Pelodiscus sinensis: one gene and its partner. The protein of the gene in region 2 interacts with the protein of the main gene of each other region in a pairwise test. Links are inferred from orthologs where the notes say so. Each region holds a gene or a part of one and is shown on either strand. Other genes may lie near its edges. The genes, in order: ZFP36 and XRN1.

Region 1 (16,061 bases), on a different chromosome or scaffold from region 2:
CCAAACCCAGCAGAACCGAACCCCAAATCTCAGCCCTTCCCCCCCCCCCAGCCTCCGAAGCTCCTGCAGTCCTTAGCAAGAGTGAGATCTCTGCCGTCAGCCTGCAGCCACAAACCCAGCCCCTCCTCCCCAAATGTCAGAAGTAGGAGCCCCAGCCTGGCTGCCCAGCCCAAGCCTCCCCCCTAGGATAGCCAGCTGTGTGAGGGTCAGGCACAATACGCCTTTGAACGGTGCTGGGGCCTCTCTGTGCTCCCTTTACACCACTTGTTTCCCATCAATATGCAGGTGAGCAGCCCATCGCGGGGAGGTAAAGCAGATGAGCCAGCGTTCCCCGGGCTCTCAGCATGGCCTTGGCCCATCAAACACCGGCCAGAGCAGATGAGATTCAGCAACCGCCCCGTGGGATGAAACTGACAGGGAGGGACTCGGCTGCCTGGTGCCACAGTGGTTGGGGCCCCACCTTGGATGGATTTTGATGGAGGCCCAACCACTCAGAGCTTCTCCCTGGCGCTGGCAGCTGAGTTTCCAAAGCTGGCTTGTTTACTGGAAGCATTGGGCGGGGGCAACTCAACTGGCTGGTTCCTCCAGTCTGGGCGGGGACAGGCCTTGCGCAAAGAGCCTTGATATGTCCTTGGCAGGGACGGGCCGCACCCCGCCCGCGTCAGCCATGACGAGAGCAGCCGGTCTGAGCTCAGCCAGCGGGGTGGGAAGGGAAGGCACCTGGCCTGCGAACGTGTTGCTGCTCACGGCTGCCACCCAGACGTGATCAAGCTTCACCTGAGCGGGGAGGGGGGAGCAGGATTGCAGCAGGCAGTACCTGTTCTAGCTTTACCCTAGGCAGCCCAGAGCAGCAACCCGATGGCTTGAGGGAAAACCTGTCCAGGCCCTGCGTTAATTACTCAGCACCTTCAGTGCTGTAGGGCAGTGGCCCCCACTGTGGTGCCTGTGGGTGCCATGGCGCCCGGCAGGGCATTTATGTGCACCCGCCACATGATCTGAGCCCCCCACAAGCGCGCAGCACGGGCATGACCCTTGCCCCGGGCGCGTGGCGTATGGGCAGCGCCAGCCCCAGGCTCCTGCCAGCCCCAAAAGATTGGGGACCACTGCTCTAGGACCTCAGGCAGCTACACTGAAGCTCTCACAGCAGGTCAAACCATGACAGCAGTCCAAGCGGACAGGAATGCAGAGATGCCCTTCCCCAAGCCAGGCATGCTAGACAGTCTGGTGGTGCAGTTCAATCCCACTACTGCCACCTGTAAAATAGGAGCTGTACTTTCCTTGCCCCCACAGGCAGCTGGGAAGATTAACTCCCTCAGTTTGCCAGACTGGAGCAAAACAATGGGGCTACAGGGCAGGTAACTTACCAGCTCTGGCTGCTTCAGACACAGGTGGTCACGAGTCCCCCCTGCACCTATAGAAAAATACCTTCTCCCAAAGCTTAGTTATGAAATGTTCACCCCTAGCCTTGCATCCTAAAGGAGTTGGTACCAACCACAGTTCCTCAAAGGAATCTGGGCACTTAATGTTATGGAGCCATGCTTCTGTTCCCCTCTGGCAGTTTGGACAGTATGCTCTTTGGGGGGCAGAGACCATCTCCCACTCAGCCTCTGCACAGTTCCATGCTCAATGTAAGTTAGGCCTACGGAGACTTCCCCCTACCCTCCCCCCAAGTTCTTAAAATCCCACCAGCTTTGAGGTGGGGGGGAGGGGGAGGAGACAGAAAAAAAGGACAGGAGGCCCATGAAGACATGAGGATGTGCCATAATAGAATTTCAGCCTCTGTGTCTGGGAACTCACAGTAGGAGTTGCAAAGAACATCAGGGTCTGGTGTGACACACACACACACACACACACACACACACACACACACACACACACACACACACACACACACACACACACACACACACACACACACACACACACACACACACTTTCTACCATCTTTCTTTTAAATCCTCAAGATTCAGCAATAAAAACACCACAATGATGATTAAAAAAAAAAAAAGCATTTGTCACTGATAAACATCGTGCTTCTTGGTTACATCAGGCTGGGTTTCTTTTTTAATTAATTTTAATAACATGGAAAATATATATTATTTCAGCATATTACAAAAAAGATAAATACAATATAAAATTCTGTCGAATAAATAAGATTTGTATAAATAATTTTGGTTTCTGTTCTCTCATCGCCACCACAGTAAACAGCTTGTTTGGTTTTGCTTTCAACAGCAACAGAGTTAAAAAGCAGGGAATTGTTAGCACGCAAGCGGAACATGAAAAATCTCCACCGGGCCTGAGCTGGAAAGAAAGGGCCAAGAGGGCAGCCAGGAGATCCCAGCAGCATACCAATGTTGCTGAAATATTTAGTGCAGGTCCCAAAAGCCCAAGCTGCAGGTGTCATGTGACCAGACCCATAGCTTGCCTTTAAGAAAAAGTATGTTTTTAGCCTGGGGGATTGGGGGGGGGGGGGGGGGGAAACGGAGGCAAAGGGGAACCCTGAAGGTGGTTCTAAAGAGCTGCAGCCTCTTTAAGACTTTGGGGAGGGGTCCGGAGTTTGACCACATGCCGGCAAGCAAGAGGGGAGCACTCTGCAGGCTCACTTTGTGCAAGAGGTAGGCAACGCAAACTCGGCATCCCCTCCCCCCACCGCCGCGGAGTCGGTCCCTGGCACAGGCAGACCAGCACACTGTGACTTTAGAGACCGACCCGACCCGCCCATACAGCCAGGCGAGTCTGAGTGAGCTTCACATGGGGAAGTGGCACAGAAGCCCCGCCCTCCCGACCCGCGTGGATACTGGGGGAGAGCCACACCTAGATTGCAAACTGCCAGCTCTCAGTGCTGCCTTACTCCCCACTTCCGGGCTGGTGGTCCGATTGTTATCCCTTTAAGGCCTCAGACCTTTCCTGCTCTAAGTAATTCCCCTTCCCCCCTTTTGCAACAGAGCTATCACCCCCTCGCTAAAATAAATACTCCACATATGCCACAGCCTTACGTACTGCACTAACTCGGTCGGCTGTCTTGGGGACTAGTGCATTCCCCTCCCCCAACTTAAAGAGCTGTTTCATACAAGCCAAGTCCAGCAGTTTTCACAGGCCCCAGGATGACGGCAGACTGCGTAAGATTCCCAAAGGGATCTGCACCACCAGTCAATCGGAGGGGTCCGGAAGCCAGGGTTACTCTGTCCCAGCCTGGGGGAAGTTCTCCAGTAACACATACAACGCCCCTTGCTTGTTAAACGTTACAGTCGGGGTGGGCTGTTACTGGAGTATCTTTGTGATGCAGAAGCTAGGTTGTATATGTGGCTACTTAGCATCCAGGCTTCCCACTGCACAAGGCTACAGCTCTATCCGTTTACTCCATTATTTCAAAGATACTGGAGGATGCTTTGGCTGTTGGGCTGGGACACTACCCCCACCGCTCACCCTGCTCAGCTCCTCCCGAAAGGGGATTAAAAAAGAGGATGGATCTGAGCCAAGAAAACAATCACCAGATCAGGGAGCCCTTTCTGAAATATTCACAGCATGAAATCAGGGCTCCCCATAAAGGTGGGGGAGCAAAGCAGCACCATGAGAGCCAAATGTTCCCCCCCAGAAACCCCATTTGCTGAGGCAGTCCTCCCCCAAATCTGCTACATACAGCACATACAAGGGCACCCCCCACTCCGCTTGCCCCAGAGTCAGTCTGTTTGAGGATGCACACTGGCCCCGAGGGGCTCCCCTTCACCCTCCGTACTGAAGGCAAGTCCAGAGGAAAGACTGAAGTGGGGGAGGCATGGGGAGCAGCAGGTGAGCACTCCCGACGGATTTTGGGGAAGGCACTTCGGCAGCATCAGCTGGCACTTGTAGGACAATCAGTGGGAGGAAGGCAGGCAGGATGACGGTCTGTAGACGGAAGGGGCACGTGGCCAGGGCATTTAGGGCCCCTCCCCAGGCACAAGCAGAGCCATCAGTGCTAATGCTCGGCAGCAGAGACAAGTTCCTTTAAGCATGGCTACAGCCAGCCAGGCAGGGAGCTAGCCTTGCCTGGCAGGCATCTGGGTGCTTGTCCTACCCCCACTGTGGGGAGCTCATGTCCCACACTGGGGGAGGCCACCCCAACCCCCTTCCACCACCTGCAGACAGGAGTAGCTCATGCCAACATGTGGCTGGACAGTTGTGCCCAATGGGCACCCACTCCCCTAATATCTGGGCCAGCAGCCAGAGGGGTTGGGTTGTCCAGAAGGTGTCTTGGAGGCAAGCCCAGAGGGTCACCCAGGAGCAGATCGCAAACTTGCCCCATCAATGCATCTAATAACGCCCCCAGTCTCTTGTCCTGCCCCCCCCTCCTGGGCCTTTATCCGATTCCGCCCTCCCCTGCTGGGCAGCAGGGCCACTCACTCCGACACGGAGATGCGGTTGAAGATGGGCAGACGGTGGGCACTATTCCGGGTCCCAGCAGTGGGCAGCAGCTCGAAGACAGGCGATTCGGAGCCACTCAGGCTACCCGAGCTGCTGTAGCAATCCTGGTCGGAGAGCGAGTTGGACGAGGGGGTCCTGGGGAGGCTGGAGGCAATCAGCGTCCCCGGGGCGGCAGAAAAATAGTCCCGGGAACTCTCGAAGATGCTCTGCCTGGTGCTGCCCCCACAGCGGCAGGTGCAGCACCCTCCAGAGTGGGAGGTGGCCACGGTTTCTCCCAGAGTGGCCATGCGAAACACGGGCTCCGAGCTGAGATGGGTGAGCGAGGATGCAAGGAGCTCGCTGGCGGGAGGCGGGGAGATGGACGGAGCCCGGGTGAAAGAGGCCGGGTCGGGGATGCTGGGCGGCGGGGAGCCCTGGCGGGCTGTGGGCACCCCGGTATAGCTCAGACTCTGTCGCAGAATCTGCGGGGAGGCGGACAGCCCTCGCTCTTCCGGGTAGTGGACAAAGTGGCAGCGGGAGCCGTAGGGGCACTCGCCGTTGAGGTAGAATTTGTGACACAGCTCGGTCTTGTACTTGGGGTGGCGGCTCAGGCTCCGCAGCTCCGCAGCCCCATGGGCAAACTGGCACTTGGCCCCGTAGCGGCAGCGGCCCGTCTCGCTGAAGGTCCGGCACAACTCCGTCTTGTAGCGGGACGAGAGGGCGGGGGCCGGCGGGGGCTGCAGTGGGGGGAAGCCGGGGGGCGGGGGTGGGAGGGCTTTGCCCTCGATCATGCTGAGGGAGCGGTCGGTGCGGAAGGGCGGGCGCGGGGCTGCTGGCTCAGGCAGGGAGAGCAATTGCTCGGTGCTGGGGCTCCAGAGGGTGCGCAGGGGCCAGATGTGGGTGTCGCTGCCCCCCAGGTGCTCCGAGCTGGCAGAATGGCGGCGCTGAAAGGACTCATCCCGCTCCTCACCCAGATTCAGGTTGCGGAGGTTCTGTGGGGCAGAAGGAGAGGAAAAAGGGGGCATTAATGCCCAGCTCAGATACCCCAATCCTGGAGGCTAGGGACACACGGCTCTGCCATGCCCTCCACCCCCCCCCCCACAGGACACAGACACCCATGGGGCTGGGTGAGAGGCCCCTGGGCACGGCCCTGTGGCCTACATCGAACTGAGCACCTGGCTCTGCTCAGTGCCAGGCCCCCTCCCAGGAGGCCAAGCTCTGTGGTGACTCAGCCCCTGAATGGCACCGTGCCAGGGTTATTTATAAGCATCCAGGCCTGGCCACAACTAGGCCTTTTATACTGGCAGGCCCCCCCCCCCCCGCCCCAAGCAAGGGGCCTTCTGCCAGCCTAGTATAAGGGGCCAGCCCCCAGGAGTGCTGGGGCACTGGGAGCAGAGAGTGAGGTGCCCCAAGAAGTCCGCGGGGGGGGAGAAATACAGAACTGGTGGAGGCAGACTCCCAGCCTCTGTGTATGCACCATCCCGGGGAAACCGCCCTCTCTCCCTGACTCTTTCCACTCCCCCCACGGCTTCCCCACTGCCCCCCCCCACTCCAAGGGGGGGGGCGCACCACTGATCCAGAGAGGAGCCCTGTTCAAACACCGCCCCCACGCACAGCCTGCTAGATGCACCCCTCCCTCACTTTCCACTGCTTCCCGTAGTTGCCAAATCCCCCCCCCCCCCCGCGCCCCTCCCCAGCCCCTCCGTCTGCCATGGGGGCGGGGAGGAACACCATTCTAGGTCACTGTAACCCCTCCCTAGCCGCTGGGAAAGTCTCGGCCCCCCCCCAACAGGGGCGAGGGGCACCTTCCCTGGAGCCCCACCCCAGCAAGGCGCAGGGGTCGCTCCCGGCGCGAGGAGCTGGGGACGGGCATGGAGTTCACACGGCCACACCCCGCTTCACTACGCTTCGTTTACCGAAAGCGGAGTAGTGGGGAAGCGGCGGGTGAGTCGCACAAACATCGGGGGGGGGGGGGGACGGGACAAGTTCTGATTCCGCCCCGGGGGTGGCTCGCGAGGGTCCTTCGGTCCCCGAGCCAGCCGCCAGCCAAGCGGCGTCACTTCGGGAGGAGCTGGCATTAGAAACAAGGGACCGCGCCAGCGGGCGGGCCGGGCGCTGCTCCGGATCAGAGTCCCTCGCCTCCCGCCCGCGCGAAAACTCGCCCGTGGAGACGCAAATCGCGCCGAATTGGCAGCTCCGGAGTAGAGCCGGTTTGGCAGCTGCCTGGGCCTTTTCCCAGGGGAGGGATAAGGGGGGAAAGGAGTTTCTTTTAGAGGAGGGGGCTGCTTCCTAGCCCCCCCCCCGATTTTGGGCAATCGGGTCGCCCAGCCCGCGAGCAATTGGGGGCAGCGCAGCGCTGCCAAGTCCCGCCCGGTCCGCAGCCGCTTACCTCGTACAAGGCTTTTACATCCATGATCGAGCTCATCGCGATGCTGAAGAGGCGGCGGGACGACGGGCGGGCGGCGGCTCCTTCTTGCCTTCCTTCCCCGGGTGGGAGTCCGCGAATACCCCCCAGGGCTCAGCCGAGCTTTGTGGCAGGCGGGCGGGCTGCAGGGCCTTATATAAGGCGGCCGCGGACCCGCCTCCCATGACTTCATCTCGTTACAATGGGAAGCGAGAAACCCGCCCTCCGGGGGCCCGGGGCCCCGCGCCCGGCGTGGGAAAAGACCAACCCGGGCGCTCGGGGGCGGGCGAAGCCGGGGGGGGGGAAAGGGGGGGGTGGAGTGAATTGCTGGGGGGGGGAAGGGAGTGAACTGCTGGGGGGGGGGGGGCTAGGAACGGGCCTGGGAGGCCACCGTCCTGATACTGGGGGCTTTGTCTCTGCTCCCCCCCAACAAGCTGCTACCCGCTCACCCTGGGAACGGGGGTCGGCCCTGCTGGGAATCCCCCCCCCCCCGGCTGAAGGGGGCTGCGTCTTTTCTGCGGGGGCACCAACTTTGGGGGGGTTCTGAGGCCGGGAAACAAACTTTTCCGCAGTTTCCATTCCTCCCAGCAGAGGCCGCTCTGTCCGCGGCCCAGGCCGCCACCCCCTCCTGCAGGCTCCAGGGCCGGGGGGCCGCAGGGCGAGCGCCCGGGAGCGGGCGGACTCGCTCCTGCAGCCCTGCCGCCCAGCCCAGGCAGCGGGGCACCGCGCGCCCAGCCGCTGGCGCACACGGCAGCGAGGCCTCTGGGCTGCTCTAATGCGTGTCCGGGCCCTGCACAATGGGAGCGGCGAGTCCTGTCCCCGGCCAGCCAGAATGGGCTGGCGACGCTCCCTGTCCTGTGGCACAACTCTCTGCCATGGGCCCTGGGGGGCAGAGAACAGCCACAGCGCAGGGCGCTCCAGGCATGGCCCCGATCTGCGCCCTATGGGCCCTGGGGGGCAGAGAACAGCCACAGCGCAGGGCGCTCCAGCCATGGCCCTGATCTGCGCCCTATGGGCCCTGGGGGGCAGAGAACAGCCACAGTGCAGGGCGCTCCAGGCATGGCCCCGATCTGCGCCCTATGGGCCCTGGGGGGCAGAGAACAGCCACAGCGCAGGGCGCTCCAGGCATGGCCCCGATCTGCGCCCTATGGGCCCTGGGGGGCGGAGAACAGCCACAGTGCAGGGTGCTCCAGCCATGGCCCTGATCTGCCCCCCTATGGGCCCTGGGGGGCGGAGAACAGCCACAGCGCAGGGCGCTCCAGCCATGGCCCTGATCTGTGCCCTATGGGTCCTGGGGGGCAGAGAACAGCCACAGCGCAGGGCGCTCCAGCCATGGCCCTGATCTGCGCCCTATGGGCCCTGGGGGGCGGAGAACAGCCACAGCGCAGGGCGCTCCAGGCATGGCCCCGATCTGCGCCCTATGGGCCCTCGGGGGCAGAGAACAGCCACAGCGCAGGGTGCTCCAGCCATGGCCCTGATCTGCACCCTATGGGCCCTGGGGGGCAGAGAACAGCCACAGCGCAGGGCGCTCCAGGCATGGCCCCGATCTGCGCCCTATGGGCCCTGGGGGGCAGAGAACAGCCCCAGCGCAGGGTGCTCCAGGCATGGCCCCGATCTGCACCCTATGGGCCCCGGGGGGCGGAGAACAGCCACAGCGCAGGGCGCTCCAGGCATGGCCCTGATCTGTGCCCTATGGGTCCTGGAGGGCAGAGAACAGCCACAGCGCAGAGTGCTCCAGGCATGGCCCGGATCTGCCCCCTATGGGCCCTGGGGGGCAGAGAACAGCCACAGCGCAGGGCGCTCCAGCCATGGCCCAGATCTGCGCCCTATGGGCCCTGGGGGGCGGAGAACAGCCACAGTGCAGGGTGCTCCAGCCATGGCCCTGATCTGCCCCCTATGGGCCCTGGGGGGCAGAGAACAGCCACAGTGCAGGGTGCTCCAGCCATGGCCCTGATCTGCCCCCTATGGGCCCTGGGGGGCGGAGAACAGCCACAGCGCAGGGCGCTCCAGCCATGGCCCTGATCTGCCCCCTATGGGCCCTGGGAGGCGGAGAACAGCCACATCACAGGGCGCTCCAGCCATGGCCCTAATCTGCCCCCTATGGGCCCTGGGGGGCAGAGAACAGCCACAGCGCAGGGCGCTCCAGCCATGGCCCTGATCTGCCCCCTATGGGCCCTGGGGGGCGGAGAACAGCCACAGCGCAGGGCGCTTCAGCAATGGCCCTGATCTGTGCCCTATGGGTCCTGGGGGGCAGAGAACAGCCACAGCGCAGGGCGCTCCAGCCATGGCCCTGATCTGCGCCCTATGGGCCCTGGGGGGCAGAGAACAGCCACAGCGCAGGGCGCTCCAGCCATGGCCCTGATCTGCGCCCTATGGGCCCTGGGGGGCAGAGAACAGCCACAGCACAGGGCGCTCCAGGCACGGCCCAGATCTGTGCCCTATGGGCCCTGGGGGGGCAGAGAACAGCCAGAGCACCGTGGGGACTAGGAGAAGGTGGGAATTTTCCCCAGGTCTCCAACACCCATGTCCCTATGTTGAATCCACCTTTCGGCCCTCAGTTTGCTAGCCAAGGACTGTTTCCAGCGCCCATGAAGCAGGTGGTTTCCGGAAGCAGCGAATTCGGCTCCGGGTTCCCCTTTCTTGCAGCAAGGTGCATGGTCAACATTACCGCTTTTGGAAACAAACAAACGAGCAAGTGGGGAAGTCCCTCCCTCCCTGTCACGGGTGGTGGGTATAAGAGTCAAGGGAAGACATGGCTTTCCCTGGGTCTTAGTGTCCACTGTCTAGGGTTGATCCTTCTTGCAGGCTTCCACATCTGGCTGCTGCCTGGGGAATCTTCAAATTTAAAAGTGAAAAACCTTTCAGCTTACCGGACTTATGAGCAGAACATTTATATTGTTGAAGAGCCGTTCAAATGGCAGTGGAACCATTTAACAGGCAGTTGTGCATTACAAGTCCAAGATACGTTCCAAAAAACTTGGATTTATAGTGAAACAAAGCGGGGAATTTTTTTCCCCGTGGCTGACTTCCATTTAAGCAAATTGGAGGAAAGTGTTTCGCATGACTTGTAGCAGGGAATGAGAGGACTTATAGCGCATCAGTTCCTTCAATCGTCAACGACTTCAGTGTGGAACGGATGTATACTAGGGTGACATAGTGGGGATGCCCTGTATTGTAATATTTACTCAGACCATGTTAGTCTATAAGACCTTAGTTTAAAATTTGCTTTAAAATATTTCATTAGTGTATTTCTGATGATTATAAAAGTCACATCTCTAAAAAGTCCTTGCATAGATATTTTGGGATGAAATCGGAATATTCATCTTTAGCCTTACATTCGTTGATCATTAGACATGTAAATTTTTAAATACACCATTCAAAAGACCACCCTTATCTAAAATACACATTTTAGTTTTAATTACTATAGTACAAAAAGCTTGCTTCTAAAGTCTCCCTTCTTTTCTGTCCACCCCTGTAAATTGACATGGGCATTTGATGGCCTTGTCTACGCTGGCATGTTTTGTCACCAAAATCTGCCATTTGGCGACAAAACAGTGAGCGCATTTACACTACAATGCAACTTTTGTCAGTAAGAACACCCAGTTTTGGCAACACAAAGCTGCCACCCCCAGGAGAGACTTTTGTCTTTTCCCTCCCTTTATTGTCAGCGAAGACCCAGCGTGGCCTCTGCTGTTTGTTTTGTGGAGAGAACTGGTTTCTGCCAGGAGCCCACAGTGCCTGCCGTGATGGATGTGCTCAGTGGTTTGTGAGCGCTGCTGCCCTGCAGACGTTAGCCCCTCCCCTTTCAAAGCTCCAGGAAGTATCTGACAGCTGAGTGAGCTGCTCCCTTTGGGGAACAAAGTGCAAATGATTTAAATGCTCCTGTTCTGCAGCTGATGGGGGGCTGGAGAGAGGGCTGTGCTGCCTTGACATTCCTTAGCACAGATTGCTCACAGAGCTAGGAGGAAATCCCAAGAAGCACAGGGATCAGCTCTGCCTTCCTGCAGGACTGCGCTGTGGGATGCTTACCCACAATGCTTTGCTCTATCTGTCCACAGGGTGCTAGCCACATGGTCATAAAATGTTGACAATGGGAGGCAGAAAAACCTGTCTGAGTGGTTTTCACACTTTTGTCACCCAACCTTTCTTCACCCCTGCTCCCATGCCCTTTTAAGACAGCTTTTAAAGTAGGGGTGGGGAACCTTTTTTGGATAGGGGGCCACTGATCCACAGAAAAATCAGTTGGGGGCCACACACAAGTGAAAAGTTAAAAGCAAACAAGCAAACAAATGCAACCCACCTGGCCCCCAAGAGAAGGAGGAAAAAACTCCCCTGAAGTTCCCTGGGGGCTGGGGAATAGTAGATTTTGTGGGGCTGCTTTTGGCTCCAAGGTAGGGCCCAAAAGGAGGGGTTTAGTGTGTGAGGGGGGCTGCCAGGGACCAGTATGGGTGGGAGGTAGGGGTCAGGAGTGGTGTGGGAGTGCAGGGTCTGGGTGAGAGAGAGGGTGCAGGAGTATGCTAGGGGAGTGCAGGTTCTGGGTGGGAGGCATAAACAAGGCAGAATCTAGCTTCCTGTGTATACCAGAAGCCGTCCTGTCAGTGTTACAGTGCAGCTGCCTCTCAGGTGGAATGCAGCAGAGGTGAATAACAGCCAGGGAGCAAGAGATGAAGACAGGATGTGGCCAGCAAAGCAGGTTTCGCTGGCTCCCCAGGAATCCCCAGCGGCACGTTCTAAACCTGTGTTTATGTTGTCTGCACCGCAGCTCTTCCTCTTTTCCGGGAAAGCCCCTGGGACCATTTGCAACTGGGCCTCGAGCAGAGTAGCCACTGTGCTGCTCTATTTTAGGGAGAGGCAGTGGGGAGAGCCCCACACAGCTAAGCCATTCTTGTGAGATGACACATCTGAGGAGCCGTCTCAGCTGGAGATGTCGCTAGAGGAGGGTTTGGAAGACATAAACAATCGTAAGTCGCTGGGACCCGTTGGCACTTACCCAACAGCCTGGGAAGGACTCCGATAGGAATTACTAGCTGCGGTTTGCACCCTGTTGCGGAAATCAGCCACTGTGCTGGGTTCTCTAAAAAGGCTCCCCCAGGTGATCCCAGCAGTTACAGGCTGGTGAGCCTGACTTTAACACCAGGCAATTTGGTTGAAAGTAACCCACAGAAGGCCCAGACACCTAGAGGAACCCCCTCAGCTGGGGAAGAGTCCGCCTAGTTTTTGTAAAGGGAAATCATGCCTCACCAATCTACTAGAATTCTCTAAGGGGGGCAAAAAGCATGTTAAAAGACAGGCACCAAATGGGGAGTTTAGAGTGGAGAGAGGTAAATAGAGGCACTTCCAGGAATCTGTACTGGAAGCTGGCACTTTGCATAGGCATCGATGATAGCGGGGTGTAGAGGAGATCAGTCAGGGGAAGGTGTCAAGCTAGGCTGGGAGGGAACCCCGATGCATCCCTGGGAAGATGGAGAGCCCCAATGGGCTTCCGGTTAGGCTCTGCCTCAGGGCCCCGGGTTTCCAGGGAATGAATCACTGGCAACATGCCCTGATGATGAGTTGGGAAATCCCTCTGAATCAGCTATGAAAGTCCATGGATCAACAACAACAGCCGGGACCGGGGAGTGCCAGCCCCGTCCCTGGAGGGGATGTCCCAGCTCTGCGAGAGGGGTCGAGACAGGAACAGCCTAGAGGTGGTAAGGAGATGGGAAGAGCTGGGGTTACACGGCGGAAGTGGAGTTAAGCTGGCTGTGAAAAGGGATGGGGATTTCCTGGCTCAGAGAGGCATCGGATGGAATGGGGGGATGGGGACCGTGCCTGGTCTAAGAGGTCCAGGATGGGGAAGAGGGATTTCCTGGCTCAGAGAGGCCCAGGATGGGATAGAGGGTGAGGAATAGGGACTGTCTCAGCTCTCAGAGGTCCAGGCTGGGGTGGCCAGGGCAGAGTATCTGGGTTTCACAGCTGTGGTCTTCTCACAGGAGCCAGCAGGTGCCTTTGCCCCTGCTCAGATCCAGCCCACCCTGGAGTCTGACCCACCCAAACAATCCCCCCAGGGGCAGAAAGATAGCAGGGACCAGAGGTTCTGGGTTCTAGTCACAGCTCTGTTGAGACCTTACACATGGCTGGTTCCCTGCCTCAGTTTCTCCTCCCACGCAGCTGTAAGCTTGCTGGTGCTGGTGCTGTCTGAATGTTCTATTTCAAGCCACGAAGTGCAGAAATAAGCTGAAATCTTGTGTTTAACTTCCCCAGATTCCTGGAAGCCTCGGCTCTATCAGTTCTTATTCATTTGGGAGGAGGTTCAGATCCTCTGTTCTATGGGTTCTGATTTGTCTTTCTGGTTCTCTGGATCAGTGTTCCCCCTAATTTTTGCCATCCATGCGTGGAATAATTTTGTTCTGTGCACCAAGGCATGTGAAGATGTGTACCACCTGTAGAAACACCTACTGCCGGCTGTGGGCACTCTGCTTATCAGCTGGGCGGCGTTTGAATCTCTCCTAGGTGGCTGCCCAAGTGCTCAGCTTGCAGGGAATACCCTGGATCCTCTGTTCTGTGGGGTTTGATCCATTGCTTTGGGGGCTCCAGTCCTCAGTTCTGAGCTATTTTTTGGAAGGAGGTTTCAGATCCTCTCTTCTGAAGTGCGGTGCAAGAAATTGGCTTGTCTGGCGTGAAATGGGCAGCCTGGCCCAGTGTGACTGCGCTCAATCAGGGATGTTTTCTAACCGCACTTTCTTGCTCCCAGCAGCTGGCCAGACTGGGAGGAAGGTCTGCCTCCCTTTCCAGGGAACTATGGGGTCATCCTGGCCTGCTGCCCATGCACGTTTCCTCTGCGTGCTGGAAACAGAGCTGTCCCAGGCTGTTGCACAATGGGCCTGCCTTTCCAGGAATCTCCCCGTGTCAGGAGGCGATGGGGACGGCCTCAGGCTGGGGATGAGCAGTCTGAGCAGGCTGGGGAATTTACCCCTTTGGAGATGGGTTGCACAAGGCTTCACTAGCTTAAGGCAGGATTCCAACGATCAGGAGAGAAGCCAGGTCAGCCCCCCAGCCTTTAACCACTCAACTCCACTTCCCTCCCAGGGCTAGGAAGAAAACCCAGGAGTCTTGACTCCAGAGCACTCCCACACCTTCTAGCCATTAGCTCACATTCCCCTCACTTCATGTGCCCTGGCTTTACACGTGTGTCACTTTAGTAACACTGGTAAGAATAAACTATGCGGAGGAAAATCAATGGAATCCGGTAACCCTGCACATGGGGAACAGTGAACAATGTCTCGAGGGGACACATAGACCCCCTACTAGGCCACAGGTGACCCTCAGGCTGCCCACCACTGCTGTAGGATGAAAGACACACACACACACACACACACACACACACACACACACACACACACACACACACACACACACACACACACACAAAGCCAATTCCCAAGTCTCCCCTCCTTTAGCTGTAACTTATTGCAAGATGTGTTTCTTGGACCCTTCTGTAATAAATACACATGGCAATAAGTCTGGTTAACAGCCAGCCAAAACGACAACCCTACCAAAATAAGACCCTCCACCATGCCACATGCGTCTCCCTCTGGGGAGTGCATGAGAGAACAGCTGCCTGTGCTCCCCATGTGTAACGCCTGGTTGGAGGGCACTCATACAATAGGCTGAGGAGCAGGGTATCAAAGGCCTCCAATCAGCTGACTCCAGCATGCAAAGGGGGGGCTGAGAATTGCAGGGGAGACGGAGCCATAGAGTTAAAGGACAGGGAGGATCAGCAGGTTGTCTACTCCAACCTCCTGTGCAATGCAAGCTCTGTGTTGATCTCAGTAACTCGTGTCTGCACCACATACCAGGCCTCTAAGAGGGTGATGGCAAGACCCAAGGTTCCAACCCTTGTGTTTTACAGACTACCACAGCCCCCACAGGACTCATGCTCTGGGAAGTTCCCCAAAGTGTCTCACGGACCAAATGGTCCTCTGCAATGTTCCCTCTAACGTCTTCCCTCTGAGTGCGGAATATGTTGTATTAGGTGCACCAAGGCATGTGCGGATGTGCACCACCAGTGAAAACACATACTGCCAGCTGTGGGCACAGAAGGCACCATGCTAATCAGCTGGGCAACATTGGAATCTCTTACTGGGGACGCTGGTGCTCCAGTCAGTCAAGTTTGGTGGACAGTCGGATTTCCCCACATGGCAGCACCAGCCAAGGGCTGGAGCGGCCACGTTTTAGGAAGGTGCTAGGCAGTCTGGGAACTGAGGGGAGGGGGAACTCAGGCCTGCATAATGCCAGGCAGCTGCTGCAGCCCCAGACTGGGCCCCAGCGTTTGACAATTCCTATCTTGGGGGTTCAAATGAATGTAGACCAGTGGTGAGCAGCCCATGGCCACTTGCAGCCCCTCGTGGTTCTCTCTGTGACCCAGAAGGCACTTTGCTACCTTTACCCATGCAGGGGGTTGCAGATCCTGCTGGTTTCTGTCCGCATCGGTTTTTCCCACCCGTGTTACTCAAGTGACACGCACGTAAAGCCGAGGCCCGGGCCGGGAGGTGTGTGCTGACACAGCACTGCCTGTGAGAGCCAGGCGCCCGCTGCAGCCAATCACAGCGCTGCCACGGTCCCGTGGACACCCCCTCCACTGCACATTGCCTGTGAGAGCTGGGCGCCCGCTGCAGCCAATCACAGCGCTGCCACGGTCCCGTGGACACCCCCTCCACTGCACATTGCCTGTGAGAGCCGGGTGCCCGCTGCAGCCAATCACAGCACTGCCACGGTCCCGTGGACACCCCCTCCACTGCACATTGCCTGTGAGAGCTGGGCGCCCGCTGCAGCCAATCACAGCGCTGCCACGGTCCCGTGGACACCCCCTCCACTGCACATTGCCTGTGAGAGCTGGGCGCCCGCTGCAGCCAATCACAGCGCTGCCACGGTCCTGTGGACACCCCCTCCACTGCACATTGCCTGTGAGAGCCGGGCGCCCGCTGCAGCCAATCACAGCACTGCCACGGTCCCGTGGACACCCCCTCCACTGCACATTGCCTGTGAGAGCTGGGCGCCCGCTGCAGCCAATCACAGCGCTGCCACGGTCCCGTGGACACCCCCTCCACTGCACATTGCCTGTGAGAGCTGGGCGCCCGCTGCAGCCAATCACAGCGCTGCCACGGTCCCGTGGACACCCCCTCCACTGCACATTGCCTGTGAGAGCTGGGCGCCCGCTGCAGCCAATCACAGCGCCGCCACGGTCCCGTGGACACCCCCTCCACTGCACATTGCCTGTGAGAGCCGGGCGCCCGCT
Region 2 (16,035 bases):
CCATTGGCTGCAAGAGTAAACGATTTATACCAGTTTCTGTAGCATTATGCAAACTGAGTTCACTTCAAAAGCAAAGGATGAAAAGTACTCCCCAATGTATACAGGTTTTTTTTCAAATGCACTGGCAAAAAAACCTCAATTCTGAAGAATGACTGCTCAGTTATTACTTAACAAAAAAAAAAAAAAGTCAAAACCATAATCATTTAAAACTTTGTATTTTATACTTATTTCAATTTGAAATTAAAAAAAAATCTCATAAACAGGTGCTATCCAATGTATTCACAAACACACCAATACAGTATTAAAATATTTTCACCTAAAACGTCTCCCACGCTGCTGGTTCATTTTTGCTCTTGGAGCCACTCCATCAACGGCCATGAAGAAAACCTTTCTTGGTTTAATAATACGAAACAATACTTCCAAGTAGTGGAAAATATCAGCAAAGATCTTATCATCTGAGATTCTGAAGTGAACATCATCATCATTAGGGTGTGAACACTGATGGATGATACCATTCATATCCAGGTACAAGTTGTCAAATTCTGGAATCTAGGAAAAAAGACATTTAATGTTTTACTGATAACGCTTACCAATCACAGACCTAGAAACAGTTGCCTTTGTTCAGTGACAGCAGAAACAACAGAAGCTGTCTTCCAAAGTAGGAAAACCTCAGCAGTTTCTGAGCTGTGTGAGACAAGGGATTTTCCTGGGGACTGATTGTAAACCTAGAGGCGGGGGCATTGGTTAGGTCCAGTTGAGTGTAAAGTAAGGTAAAAGTTGCCAGAAAACCTGAAGATAATGAAAGATATGCAGAGACCATGACCTTGAATGCAAGCAGAGACAGAATTCCTTGGGGCACTGGACTCTGCTAAAAAGCAGGCATGCAAAATGTGAGCAAGGAAGCTGTTCACTATTTGTTCCTACTGTTTTCAGGAAAATGGCATTTTTGCATACATTCTTTGTAAATAAACAGACTTGCACCACAAAAATACCTTGCTCATATAAATAATGCAGCATGGCTCCAAATATTGGCTAGCTGCTTGGGCCAACAGGTACCACCATGTTTTTGTCCAAAAATTTAACACCAACAAGGCCAGTTTGTAAGCAAACATATCCATTTTGTACACACATCTACTTGCTTGATGTTGTAAGTAATCCTAACCATGAGAGTCCCCTGCTAGTTTCTGTAGGATTGTTTGCTCACTTTCTGTGACAACCTATTGTGTTGTTGCTGAACCATCCTCTCACATGGGAAATGTTTTTGGATTTGTGTTCTAGAGTCAGGAGGAGCAGAGTTCTATTTCAGTATTGGCAAACATGAAGTGAAGGAAAAGGTAGAGGCAAGATTAAAAAGGAACTAATACATCTCTAATATCTAGTGTCTTGTTTGTACAGCTGGCTCTGCAATGTATTACACTACAGCTGATGCACAGTGCTCAGTAATTATTTTTATGCGCTTCCTAAAATGGTATTTAGTCCCTCCAATAAAGGACCTAATTTTGCGGTCCAAGTAAAACTGCATATCCAAAGTCCACCACATCCACATGGACACCAGCTCTTCAGTCACAAGAGGATGTGTGTTGCAGTGACAGCACTCTATAAAAGCTCCAAAACTTGGGTGAGCCGCATGACCTTTTCACATGAAGCAGAACATATAGAAGGATAGCAGAGGGCATTTTCTACATATGAAGAAGCATACTTTAATTACATTTATAAATAATAATCTTTGTTTTGCACACAAACTGCCCTTTATCTTCTATCACTTTTTCAGCAAGAGCAAACAGAAGAACAAACAACATAACCCTGTCCAGTAGTGCTCCCTCCCCCTACTTCAAACAAAACAAACCCTGTTACTTGTTGCTTCAGTATTTGAGTAGCTGGCCCAATAGTTTACATCATTCTAGTAGTGTGCGGCTTTGAAATACCCCATCCCTTTCCCCTCCTCCCCCTTGTTGCCTCTTTCTGATACAGGCAGCAGGGGGAGGGCAGTGACTAAAAAAGCATAACTAAAAAACTGTTTGATAGCAGCCCAAGTATGATATGTTTATTTGAATAGCCAATAATGTTAGGCGCCCAATTTGGAAAATGGCCTTAAAGTTTCTAAATTTACATTTAGACACCTAAATGAAAATTGCCTGACTAGAGATGCTGCATGTGAGCACAATAATCAACCAGTCACAAGTGTTTTGATGTGCAGCTATTTGGCTGTATTCTCACCCTCTAACCCTGTGGTCATCAACCAGTTGAGCGCGAGGCGTTCTGGGCCTCCCATTTCCTCCCACCCCCAAGAAGCCCCACTAACTACCTCGAGCAACAATGAAGGTAGTGGCAGCTTCCAGTGGGGTGGAGGAAAGTCCTACAGCTGCGCATCACTTCCAGGGGTTCCAGAAATGCGCTAGCTGTTTCCTTGCCCCAGATCCCTGGCATTCTGGGAACTTACCGGGTAAGTCCCCGGAGGCTTTCCCTTCTCTGCAGAAGGGGGGAGTCAGGCCCAGAAGGAGCGCGTGTGCAGGCTTCCCTGCTCCGCGGGGTGGGTTGGCCCCGAGAGGTCGCATGCGTGGGCTTCCCCCCTCTGCGGGGTCGGCCCCGGAGGGAGCGCGCAATGGAGGCTTCCCTCCGAGGCTGGTGTAGGGGACTCCCTGACCCCATTGGCACCCTGTCCCCGAACCCTGTTCCTGCCCCCCAAACCCTGTTCCTGACCCCTGCCACAGAACCTCGTCCCCCGCCCTCCTGCCCCCCCATTCCCTTCTCCCCTGTCCCCCCTCTGCAGAAACCTGCCCCACCACTGGCACCCTGTCCCCTGCTGCAGAAACCTGTCACCCCCAGCCCTCTGTCCCCCACTGCAGAAATCTATCCCCTACTGCAGAAACCTGTCCTCCTGGCACCCTGTTTCCTCTCCCATGCCCTCAGCCACAGAACTCTGTCCCTCTCCCCTGCTGCAAAAACCTGTTCCCTTGCCCCTGCCCCCAGCTGCAGAACTCTGCCCCCACTGGCACCCTGTTCCCTGCCCCAGCACCCACTAGCACCCTTCCCCAGTACCATGTCCCCTGCTCCCAACTGACTTTTCTGTGCGTCAGTGACCCCTGACTCAAGACAGGTTCCCTGCCCATCTCATAAACAAAGACAATGCAGAAACTTTGTGTGTTTGACACAGTATTTTATTTAAAATGAAGCCTGGCCAACAAACCCCCAATTGGGGCCAAGCCTTCATCTGCCCACAGCCATTCCTGCATTCCCCCTTCCCCTAGACCTGAGCTTATCATACACTGGAACTTCCTGCCCTGAGCCCCTCACATACCTCAACCCAAATTCCTGCACCCTCACTCCACAAGCATCTGGCTTGCTTAGTACCCCAACACTGCCCGGCCTGGAGCCTCCTCCCCGAGCCAGCATCCCCTTCTCCACCTCCTGCTGCATCCAGATTTCCTCCCAGAGCTTGCACCTCTCACCCCTTCCCACACCCAAATCCCTCATTCCCACCCCAGAGCCTACACATCCTGTCTCAACCCAGCAAGGGTAAGGCTAGACTGCAGTTTTTCAGGATTCTGGAGATATCCCAGAAAAACTCTCCTGCATCCAGGAATGCGTTTGTTCTTCCACTTTTTTTAGTGGAAGAGCAAACATGCTCTTCTGGTCACCCCTATATTCCTCTTTCCACGACAAATAAGGGGGCTTCCAAAAGAAGGGTTTTTTCTGACATTTGGTCCAGTCTAGACAGGCCAAACGTTGGAAAAACCTCTTCCTACAGAAGAATTGGAAAAAAAAAAAAGGCAGCAGTATAAGGATTGGGAATAGCAAATGATGGAGAGCAGGAGAATAGAAAGGGGCGGGGCTTCAAGAAACGGGCAGGGAAGTAGATCTTGGCTTGGTCTGTCATTTAAAAAGTGATCTTGGGTATGTAAAGGTTGGAGACCACTGCTCTAACCTTTTCTGCATTGCTCCACAACACGCTCCCACCCCCAAACAGTTAAATCAGTCAGGGTATAAAAAACCCACATCCTGACTGACAGTTATGGTGGCAAAAAACACAGTGTAGTCACAGCTATCTCAACAGAAGAGTGCTTCTGCCAACATAGTTAAGATTGTTTTGGGAGGCAGTGTTCCTATACTGGCAGAAAAACTCCTTAGGGAGGTATGTTAGCACATATACACCGAATAAAGTCTCTCTAGTAAATGCCCAGCCTAAAATTAACTCTTAATTGAAGCTAACTGGGCCAGAAAGTAAAATTCAAGCATTTGCTGGTGGCATAGTGTTCAGCTAAAACAGGTTTTTAACAATAGGACAAAAATAAACATTTAGAAGTACTTTACAAAGATTACTATCAGGCAGTTTAGGAACATTTTTATATTATAGAACAAAAATTAAAAAAAACTCCGAAACAGTATTAATACAAAGGTTTCTATTAAATTAAAAAGAAACAATATAAAAATACATGTGGATTTAAACATATCCCTGATGTTCCTAACCCAAGCTTTGCAACATTGTTTTAGTGTTTAAGAACAAGAAAGTAAAACTGGCCACAGAAAATGTAAAACAGAAATAAAAGTGAAACTGATCAGTTGATTTCCCTTGTTATGTGCAAATTACATGCTATCAAATAAATGAAATCTTTGTTCGACAAGATGGATAAACTAAGATGTTGGACACTGATAAACAATGCCCTCCATTAACTATAACAAAAAACAGGACTATGTAGCACTTTAAAGACTAACAAGATGGTTTATTAGGTGATGAGCTTTCGTGGGCCAGACCCACTTCCTCAGATCAAATAGTGGAAGAAAATTGTCACAACCATATATACCAAAGGATACAAAAAAAAATGAACACATATGAAAAGGACAAATCAAATTTCAGAACAGAAGGCGGATGGGGGGGGAGGGAAGAGAAATGTCTGTGAGCTAATGATATTAGAGGTGATAATCGGGGAAGCTATCTTTGTAATGGGTAAGATCATTAGAGTCTTTATTCAAACTTAAGTGTAAAGCGTCGAATTTAAGCATGAATGACAGTTCGGAGGATTCTCTTTCAAGTGTAATCTTAAAAGGCCTTTGAAGCAGGATGCAGGTAATCAAGTCGTTGAGACAATGTCCTTGCTGATTGAAATGGCAGGAAACTGTTTTTTCTTTGTGATCCTGTCTAATATCTGTTTTATGGGCATTGATTCTTTGGCAAAGTGTCTGAGATGTTTGTCCAATGCTATCATGTGCCGAAAGTGTCCGTCTGCTATGTACGTTGGACAAACGTCTCAGACACAAAGAAAAAACAGTAAATTGAAAAAGCAAATTGGAAAAAAAAAAGCAAATTGAAAGAGCCAGACGAATACCTAGAAACCATCTACTTCAAGACAGACCCAAGAAAACCAACTGTAGAACACCACTTGTCATCACCTACAGCCCCCAACTTAAACCTGTCCAACACATTATCAATAAACTACAGCGTATACTGGAACAGGATACTAAACTCTGAGAGGTTCTGGGAGACAGACCCATAGTCTCCTATAGACAAGCACCTAACCTCAAGATGATTCTTACCAACAACCACAGGACATACCACACTAATACCAACCCTTGTACCTTCCCTTGCAACAAACCCCGTTGCCAGCTTTGTCCACATATTCACTCTGCTGATACCATCATTGGACCTAACCAAGTGAGTTATAAGATCAAGAACACATATTCCTGCGCATCCAGAAATATAATTTATGCTATCATGTGCCGAAAGTGTCCGTCTGTTATGTACATTGGACAAACGTCTTAGACACTTCGCCAAAGGATCAGTACCCACAAAACAGATATTAGACAGGATCACAAAGAAAAAACAGTTTCTTGCCATTTCAACCAGCAAGGACATTGTCTCAACGACTTGATTACCTGCATCCTGCTTCAAAGACCTTTTCAGACCACACTTCAAAGAGAATCCTCCGAACTGTCATTCACGCTTAAATTCGACACTTTACACTTAGGTTTAAACAAAGACTCTAATGATCTTACCCATTACAAAGATAGCTTCCCCGATTATCACCTCTAATATCATTAGCTCACAGACATTTCCCTTCCCCCCCCCCCCCCCATCCACCTTCTGTTCTGAAATTTGATTTGTCCTTTTCATATGTGTTCATTTTTTTTGTATCCTTTGGTATATATGGTTGTGACAATTTTCTTCCACTATTTGATCTGAGGAAGTGGATCTGGCCCACGAAAGCTCATCACCTAATAAACTATCTTGTTAGTCTTTAAAGTGCTACGTAGTCCTGTTTTTTGTTTCAACTACACCAGACTAATACGGCTACATTTCTATCTCCATTAACTATGATTTTCAACCTGTGTCTATCTAAATGATAATTAGCTTAAAAAATCTGTAGCTTATTATTTCAGTAAACAACACAGTGACTACAGCAATACATCTCCCCACTTTCCAATCATTTACTATTTACACATCTACTTTATATTTACTTTTAGCCTACCATCAGTTACTTACAGAGAAGCAGAGTTAGACTCGGGGTGAGCACTTCTGAAAACCCCACCTATATGTTGGCTTCTACATCCAAGTAATACTGTCAAGCAAAACAGCTGCCTTCCAAACGTACCAACAGGGGCTGAACTAAACCTCGGCGCGCCCCGGGAACGAAAGATCGACGCCCAGATGCGGGAAGTCCACACCAGCCTCAGCCGCCCAGCAGCTGCGCCAGCGGAGCCTTATCGGGGGGGCCCGAGTCGGGGCTCGCTTTCTAGCACCGGGCGCTGGGGGGAACCCCCGGGAGCGACCTGGGGCCTTGCGCGGGCGAGGCAAGTCAGCGGAGCCCCGAGGAACCGAGCCCGGAGCCGTTCGCGGTGCCGGGCCCGCCGAGGCGGGGGGACACTCTCCCCGGCCCGAGCGGCCAGGCCAGACGGCGCGAACCCCCCCGCCTCCCGACCCTGCGTCGCTCACCTGATGCTCCTTCAGCACCTGGCTGAGGCAGGGATACCGCTCCGAGACCCACCGGTAGAACTTGGGGACCCCCATGGCCGCCGCCTACTCGAAGCCCGACGGGACCCAACCAGCCCTTCCCCCTCAGCCGGCTTCCTTCCGGCGCGTCCTACTGACAGCCAGGCCGCCCAGCCGCCACAGAGCGCGGCGCAGAGCGGCCCTACAGCCATAGAGAGGCAGAGACAGAGCGTCCTTCCTCGCCCCCTTCTCCCGGCCTAAGGCGGGGGCAGCCCTCCCCGCACGCAGCTCAGCGCGCTCCCGCGGGCAAGCGGCGCCCTGCGCGGACCAGCCGCACAGACCTTCCCTCTCTGTCCCCACGCGCCCCGGCCAGGGAGTCGCAGCGGCAGCGTGTGAAGTCTGGAGCTCGGTCCCGGGGCAGCTGGACCAAGCCTTTCCGCCAGCAGGGACCCCGCGGTGGGGTCCATAAGAGAGCGAGGCTCCTAGGGGCCCGTAGCAAGACACCGTCCCCCCGCTGCTGTGGACACAATGAGCTGTAAGAGTCTGGGAGGAAGATGGGTATGAACGGGTCACCGGTTACCCAGCTTCCCTGGGCCCACCGCGCCACGGGCCGAGGCAGGAACCAGCTCTCCGCTAGCGGGCTCTGCAGTATGCCCGCAGCACATGTAACCATGTAAAGGCACGGTTTTAAAGGGCTTTCTACATCCCTACACATTCATGGCGATTTATATGCAAATAATAGAACTCCCCATTTAAATTAGATAAAATATGTGCAAAGATTAAGGGATTAAAATACAGCCCATTTGATTACTTGTATTCAAATTATGTATTCACCTTGTAATTCCAGGTGGGGATTATTTTGGAGAGGAGGAGAATAAGAACAATATCGATGGAGTATTATTTTCAAATGGTGCTCACAGTCACTAATGGTCATGGAATAATATTTTATGCTATTTGGATTTTTAGTAGAAGGCTATAAATAGTGTTTTTGTGGAGGATGAGAACTTTCTTGAAAAAAGATCCTGAGAATTTTTAGACTAGGGGAGGGATGTAAAAACAAAGTCCAGGTTAAGGAAGAAAATGAAGGGCATGAATTATCTCAATCACTTCAGTGGACTAATTCAAGAAATGCTGTTGTCTTCAGTTGGAGGAGTTTGTGTACTATAAACCTGCCTCTTGGTGACACTCCATACCATGCTTTATTAAGCAGTTTAGACTAGAGCAGAAATGGAGAAGAGAACTTTTTTTTTATTTGGGAGCTGCTGATCCACAGAAACATAAGTCAGGGGCTACACACAAGTGAAAAGCAAAACGAAAACCACCTCACTGACGTGGTCCCCAACGGAGGAGAAAAAGACATTCCCTTCACATGCCAGAGACTAGTGGGACCCAGACTTGTAGATTTTGTGTGCTCTAGTCCCACACTAAAATGATGGGAGGGCTGGTGCGCCAGCACATGCTCCCCGATGCTGGGGGACCAGCCCCGAGGGCTAGATGCAGGCAAACTGGTAGCCACTGGTAGTCGCAGGTGGCCCCCAGGCCTTAGGTTTCCCATCCCTGGACTAGAGGAATTAAAATAGGTCAAATAGGTGCCACTGTTTGATACAATAGTTTAAAATGCCTGGTGCCTTCTCAGCAAGAACAATACTTTAGAGCAGGGGTCTCCAAACTTTTCAGCCCGAGGGCCGCATTAACTATCAAACAGCAGTTCAGGGGCCGACTACACACTTGAGGTCCAAATAAAAAACAATCAAAACATGGATGTTGTTTTTAATTATTTATTTAATATTATTTTATTCAGTTATTATTTAATAACACATTGATACACTACACATGAACACCTGTATTAGTGTGAATGGTGAAATTGTTTCCTGGATGCCAAAATAGCAGACATTTCTGGCTTTAGATTTGTTGTCCCTAACATCAACAGTGACCTGAGATTATCATCGGACAAGTTTGTTCTCAAATTGTTCTTCACATATTTCATTCTTGAAAATGTTTGTTCACACAGGTATGTTGTTCCAAAGATTGAAAGGTACCTTGATGCAAAAGTTTTGACATTAGGAAAGTCTTCCTTGGGCAAAAACTGGTAAAAACCCACCAGTTCTATTTTGAACTTGTCCCTAAGGAGGTCATTTGCTTGCAACTCAATGACTTCCAGCTGCAGTTCATCTGGGCAACTGGCCACATCTGCTTCAAATGGGTTTTGAAACAATCTCACTTCTTCTGCCTTTGAATCCAAGTCAGAAAACCGCTGCTGAAACTGCAGCTGGAGGTCTTTGATGATCTCGCATGCAAATGACGTGGGGAACTCAGCTGTTGCTTCAGCCATGAAGACCTTGCACTGCTGAAAGTGCGTCAAGTTGTTGGCCTGTACTTGTTCCAAAAACAAGACAAGTTTGGATCTGAAGGCCTTTAGGTGGGTGTATAGATCAGAAACTAGATTTTGCTCTCCTTGTCGTTTTAGGTTCAGAAAATTTAAATGACTAGTTATGTCTGCAGCAAAAGCCAATTTCCATACCCACTCTTCATCAGACAGTAATGGCTGTGGCTTGCCTTTACTTTCCAGGAAGTCACCTATTTCCTTTCTTAACTTAAATACTCTGCTCAGAACTTTCTCACAACTTAGCCATCTTACTGCTGTGTAATATGGTAAATCTTGCGATTCTGTGTCTGTATCTTTCAACATGTCTCTGAACTGTCTATGGTTGAGCCCATGTGACCTTATTAAATTCACCATCTTCACCACAGGATTCAGTACACTGCTAATGTCCACATATTTAGCACACAAAGCTTGCTGGTGAATAATACAGTGCAGGAACATTGGTTGTATAATGTTTTTCTCATTACACATCTGCTTCACTTGTCCAACCAAGCCTTTCTTTATGCCACTCATGTTCTTTCCTCCATCAACAGTCAGGCAACTGAGGTTAGTCCAGTCCAAGTTATAATCAGCAAATGTTTTTTTCAACTCATTGAATATATCCTCTCCGGTAACAGTGCCATACATGCTATGTAGGGAAGCCAGCTCTTGTGTTATGTTCATGTCTTCATCCACACCTCTAATGAACACAAGCAGTTGAGAGGTGGAGCAGCTGTCCAGCGATTCATCCATTGCAATTGAAAAATGGCGAAACTTGCTTGCATTTTTCGCTATTTGAGTCACAATGTTTTCACCCATGTCTGCAACACGGCGGGCAATGGTATTCGCACCCAAAGCTACATTTTCAAATTGTTTTGACTTTACTGGGCAAAGTTCCTCAGCCACTTCCAACAAACATTCCTTCACTACTTCACCATCTGTAAAGGGTTTGCCACTTTTAGCCAGGACGTAGGCAACTTTATAACTGGCCTTAGTTAAGGATTCATTTTCATTTGAGGATTTACTGAACAATGTCCTCTGAGATGTGAGTTGATTTTGTAATTTAGAAAATTTTTCGGCACGGACTTTACCCTTCAACTGTACATATTTCTCCTGATGTTTGCTTTGATGATGACGGCGCAGGTTGTATTCTTTCATCACAGCCACGGTTTCGTTGCAAATCACACACAATGCTTTCTCGCCGGATTTGATGAAGAAGTATTTCAAACTCCATTCTTCTTGAAATTGCCGACACTCATAGTCTATTTTTCTTTTCCTCTTCTCGGCCATCGCTGGGCACTAAAATAAAGTGAATTAAACATGAATAAATAATGAAACTGAAAGTATCTTGCACACAATATCGCTCAAAAAACCTGATTATGCGAACTAATTTTGTCGCAATAATAGCTGCAAATGACCCGAAACAATTTTTAAAAATTCTTATGATTTCTTAAGTTAAACTTACCTGAATATAGTGTGCAAATATATCCACTTATGGTAGAGAGATTGTTGCTTTTAATGTTTCCTCTTCAGAATATTCGCCTGCGAATCTGTTTCTCCCGGAAGGGGGGGGGGGGGGGGGCTTTTCCCCCTGCTCTCCCCTTCCTCTGCACGCTGTCCTCCCCTCCTGCTTGCCACCGCTCACTCCTTTCCCCCCCCCCCGGGCGGAAGGGGTCACCTTTTTAAAGTTCCCGCCGGGGTTCACGTTCCCCCGCACGTCGCCGGGCGGGCGTTACCACCACCGCCCATCCTGCCCCCTGATTGGCCGGCTGCCCTGTCAGTCTGGGCGGGGGAACGCCGCCCGTGCTAACCCCCGCCCCCTGCGCCGTTTGCCGCCGCGCGGCCGCTTGTCAGCGGAGCGGCCCGCTTCTCCTGCCCCGGCGCGGCGTGAGTACACGCCGCACACCCCTGACAGGGCCCCCCCCCCCCCCCGCGGCAAGAAGGGCCCGTTCGGCGGCGCCCCAGGGACGGGCGGGGGTCGCCTCGTCACACCGGCACGCGGAAGAAGGCGGGGCCAGACAAAAAGGTCTCCACGGGCCGGATGAGAGGGCCTCGCGGGCCGGATGCGGCCCGCGGGCCGTAGTTTGGAGACCCCTGCTTTAGAGAAACCTAGGTGAGAATGAAGACTGCAAAAAAGCTTTTCATTTTGGAAAATCCTTCTGAAATAGGTACATGAATACAGTTACAAATCCCATTTCAACCATGCGGATACAAAATTTATTTTATATACAATATCTTTTAAAATATCAACTCAGGTTTCCTACAAAAGAAAACTTATATATAACATTTTATAAAGCTAATTTAGACCCTGCTCTGATACAGAAGTGAACATATACATTCATAAATATCATAGATGAGTGTTAATTATACAGGAAATACACAACTGCATCAGGGAGACGACTGTCAATTCTGTTCACTAGTTCATGTATTGTATTCTGTATACATAAAACTGTATAAATACAAATAAAAGTATGTGTCTTCAAACTCAGAATGCAAAGAATTCATTTATATATGTATACAACATACACCGCCTATGTACAACAACTTTACAGTATATATTACATAGGCTGCACATTAAATTGCAATTTAGACATACACAAAATCAGAATCAACAAAAGTGGTAATTTTAGAAAATTCTTCAGTGACTAAGAAAGAATTCAATAACTTTTTGGTTAAAAAAAATTACAGAAGCACAAGTTGTGAAGGCAGTATTTCACATGTACGGAGCCCAGCCCAGGTACATCTGACAGAGCAGGTTCTCATCATTTGCTTCTTGAATGAGGTAATGAACGTGCCCTTCAATAGACAAGGGCAATCCTTTTACCCGGTTCCTAGTCTTAATCACACCCTGAAGCCGCTGTTCTATGTCAAGGACATGAGTCTTTGCCTATAAACAAGAGAAAAAAACCTTACAATTCATATAGCTATGTATTTGTCATATCTGTAATAGAAACATTTCCTGTTCTTCCAAATAAACTTTTGGCCAATTATAGCTTGTATTTCAGATCCCACATAAACAGATTTAATATACAAATATCTATGAACTTTTTCTGAAAACAGTTGGATTTCCTTTTGTCACTTTCTTCATTCTCAAGAACTGCTTGCTTTTTGGACAAGCTATAGCCTTTACATTAACTTTACAACTAGATCTTAAAGATCGAATGAATTATTGCACATCCTCTTGAAGCAGATAGCAATGAAATGTGTTTCATTCTATAAAAATCATTTCATTATCACCGTATATACATGTGGCTCAGTAACAAAGAGCCCACGAGACAACTAATCAAAAGAGCATGTTCCAGAAAATATTCAACCTTCTTATGTTCAGAAAAGCATTTTTTTTTTGTTTTTTTAACTTAAAAATGGTGATGGTGGGGAGGAGGTAGGTTGACTGTTACAACGCAAGCAGGACTGTAAACATTTTCCGCTGAATGTCTTCCGCTGAATGTAAAAAAACAAAACAAAAAAGACTGGAAGTATGGACCAGACTTGAGCCAAAAACAATATTTTGACTAATACTCAACCATGAAATTAGGCAAAATACACAACTATTATCATGAGGTCTTGTCCTTGAATATCATCAGTTACATCATCAACCAATGAGAACTGATTCTCAACTTACAATGAAAGGAGCTCTATATTCTCAGGCATAAAGGGAAACAAGAAGACATTCTATAAATATATTATAAGCAAGAGGAAGACCAAGGACAGGGTAGGCCCATTGCTCAGTGAGGAGAGGGAAACAGTAACAGGAAACTTAGAAATGGCAGAGATGCTTAATGACTTCTTTGTTTCCATCTTCACCGACAAGTCTGGTGAAGGAATGCCTGACATAGTGAATGCTAGTGGGAAAGGGGTAGGTTTAGAAGATAAAATAAAAAAAGAACAAGTTAAAAATCACTTAGAAAAGTTACATGTCTGCAAGTCACCAGGGCCTTATGAAATGCATCCTAGAATACTTAAGGAGCTGATAGAGGAAGTATCTGAGCCTTTAGCTAGCATCTTTGGAAAATCATGGAAGACAGGAGAGATTCCAGAAGATTGGAAAAGGGGAAATATAGTGTCCATCTATAAAAAGGAAATAAAAACAACCCAGGAAACTACAGACCAGTCAATTTAACTTCTGTGACAGGAAAGATAATTAAGCAAGTAATTAAGGAAATCATCTGCAAACACTTGGAAGATAATAAGGTGATAGGGAACAGCCAGCATGGATTTGTAAAGAACAAATCATGTCAAACCAATCTGATACCTTTCTTTGATAGGATAACAAGTCTTGTGGATAAGGGAAAACTGGTGGACGTGGTATACCTAGATTTTAGTAACGCATTTGATATCGTCTTGTATGATCTTCTTATCAATAAACTAGGCAAATACAACTTAGATGGGACTACTGTAAGGTGGGTGTATAACTGGCTGGATAACTGTTCCCAGAGAATAGTTATTAACAGTTCACAAACCTTCTGGAAAGGAGTAACAAGTGGGGTTCCGCAAGGGTCTGTTTTGGGACTGGTTCTGTTCAATATCTTCATCAACCATTTAGATATTGGCAAAGAGAGTATGCTTATTAAGTTTGCAGATGATACCAAGCTTGGAGGGGTTGCAACTGCTTTGGAGGATAGGGTCATAATTCAAAATGATCTGGAGAAATGGTCTGAGGTAAACAGGATGAAGTTTAATAAGGACAAATGCAAAGTGCTCGACTTAGGAAGGAACAATCCGTTTCACACATACAGAATGGGAAGCAAATTGTCTAGGAAGGAGTATGGCAGAAAGGGATCTAGGGGTTATAGTGGACCACAAGCTAAATATGAGTCAACAGTGTGACACTGTTGGAAAAAAAGCAAACATGATTCTGGGATGAACTAACAGGTGTGTTCTGAGCAAGACACGAGAAGTCATTCTTCCGCTCTACTCTGCATTGATTAGGCCTCAGTTGGAGTACTGTGTCCAGTTCTGGGTGCCACATTTCAAGAAAGATGTGGAGAAACTGGACAAGGTCCAGAGAAGAGCAACAAGAACGATTAAAGGTCTAGAGAACATGACCTATGAAGGAAGGCTGAAAGAATAGGACTTGTTTAGTTTGGAAAAGAGAAGATTGAGAGGGGACATGGTAGCAGTTTTCAGGTATCTAAAAGGGTATCACAAGGAGGAGGGAGAAAACTTGTTCTTCTCTGTGGATAGAACAAGAAACAATGGGCTTAAACTGCAACAAGGGAGGTTTAGGTTAGACATTAGGAAAAACGTCCTAACTGTCAGGGTGGTTAAACACTGGAATAAGCTGCCTAGAGTGCCTGTGGAATCTCCATCTCTGGAGATATTTAAGAGTAGGTTAGATAAATGTTTATCGGGGATGATGTAGATAGACAGTACTGGGTCCTGCCATGATGGCAGGGGACTGGACTCGATGACCTCTCGAGGTCCCTTCCAGTCCTAGTATTCTATGATTCTATAATAAGATCACTCATTTATCGATCTCATATATTGTATTACATACAAAAAACTGTACTAAAAGAACATTAAGATCCCAAAGTCAAACTCTTTAAGAGTTAGGAAATGCCAGAATGAAGATTGACTGTATAAGTTTAATTTAGCTCCCTTATACTAACTCAACCCCACTATGATACAGACTTGATTTATATGCTTGATGCTGCACATCAAGGATCAATGGATCCTTTTCCACAGGAGCTCATTTACTGTATATGACAGACCTTTTCTGAGGATCAGTCAGGGTTGTGAAATGAAAGAGGCTTCTCTGTATGGCCCTGCCTCCTTTGTTGCAGAAGTCAGAAGATATGTAGTGAATGAATAAGGTGATTACAAGAGAAAGGCTGGTCTCATAGTTAAGGCAGTTGAGTACTGCCTGGTAAGACAAAATTCTACTATCCCTGTCTGTGCTGTGGCTGTAAACAAACTTTATGAGACTGCAGGAAACGTGGCCACACCCCATTGTAAGTGGACAACTGGCTAACTAAAACTATGTCAAACCACAGACTAGAGAGGTTCAACCTGTATCTTAGGTTCCATTCCAGACTTTTGAGGGGACTCTGTTCTAGCAGGTTAAGATACCCTGATGATGGAAACGGTAGAATCTATAGTACAGACACAACTCAAGTGGTATCATTACTGTGTCATCTATTGTGAAAGCTCTACAATAGTTATGGGGTTAAGCAGTATTTTCTGTTTAAAAGTCCACTCTTGTAAGTACTGTAAAATTCATGTGTTTATATAGATTGTCTTGAAAATTGCTGTCTCTCATGGGGATGCTAGCTAGAATTCATGATCTAAATTTGGATAATTTAAATAGGAGCTTCCAAGTTATGGTCCTCGCCACTTACCCCCAAAATCATAATGGTAAAAATTAATGAGTCTTTTCTTCACTACAGCTTCTATTATAGGTGGAACTGTAATTATGCGTCCTAATTTTACCAGTATAGTCTAGACTTAGAGAGTGATACTAAAAAGATACAGTAGATCTCATGAAGGCTTTTATTGAAATACCAGTCTCATATTTGAAGGATTAAACAACAGCAAAGAGATAATTAATAAAAAACCAACTAGAATACCTTTAGAAGAAAAATACAAGGAAAGTAAAGTCTTGCATAAATTAGAACAAAACAACTGATACTGTGAAATATAAAATAATTAAATGTTAGTTTGAGAGTAGATCAAATGTCTTGCAACTAACCTTTTCATTGACAACTTCCCCAGTTTCATTCACCTGTGCTTTTGTATTACCTTTCACTGG

The links.
Region 1: the proteins of XRN1 (region 2) and ZFP36 interact in a two-hybrid assay, tested with the Homo sapiens proteins (2 studies listed by BioGRID). The link is inferred for Pelodiscus sinensis from reciprocal best matches to the Homo sapiens genes XRN1 and ZFP36.

What each region holds. Positions count from the first base shown.
Region 1 is NW_027465849.1:4,195,105-4,211,165, reverse strand, and holds ZFP36 (mRNA decay activator protein ZFP36), read right to left. Parts: upstream 6,930-16,061; 5' UTR 6,806-6,929; coding exon 6,770-6,805; intron 5,373-6,769; coding exon 4,377-5,372; 3' UTR 2,035-4,376; downstream 1-2,034. UniProt on the Homo sapiens protein: Zinc-finger RNA-binding protein that destabilizes several cytoplasmic AU-rich element (ARE)-containing mRNA transcripts by promoting their poly(A) tail removal or deadenylation, and hence provide a mechanism for attenuating protein synthesis.
Region 2 is NC_134720.1:21,384,537-21,400,571, forward strand, and holds the start of XRN1 (5'-3' exoribonuclease 1), read right to left. Parts: upstream 7,251-16,035; 5' UTR 7,004-7,250; coding exon 6,929-7,003; intron 550-6,928; coding exon 317-549; intron 1-316. Other genes in the region: serine/threonine-protein kinase ATR, read right to left, coding at 12,001-12,174, 15,976-16,035. UniProt on the Homo sapiens protein: Major 5'-3' exoribonuclease involved in mRNA decay. Required for the 5'-3'-processing of the G4 tetraplex-containing DNA and RNA substrates. The kinetic of hydrolysis is faster for G4 RNA tetraplex than for G4 DNA tetraplex and monomeric RNA tetraplex.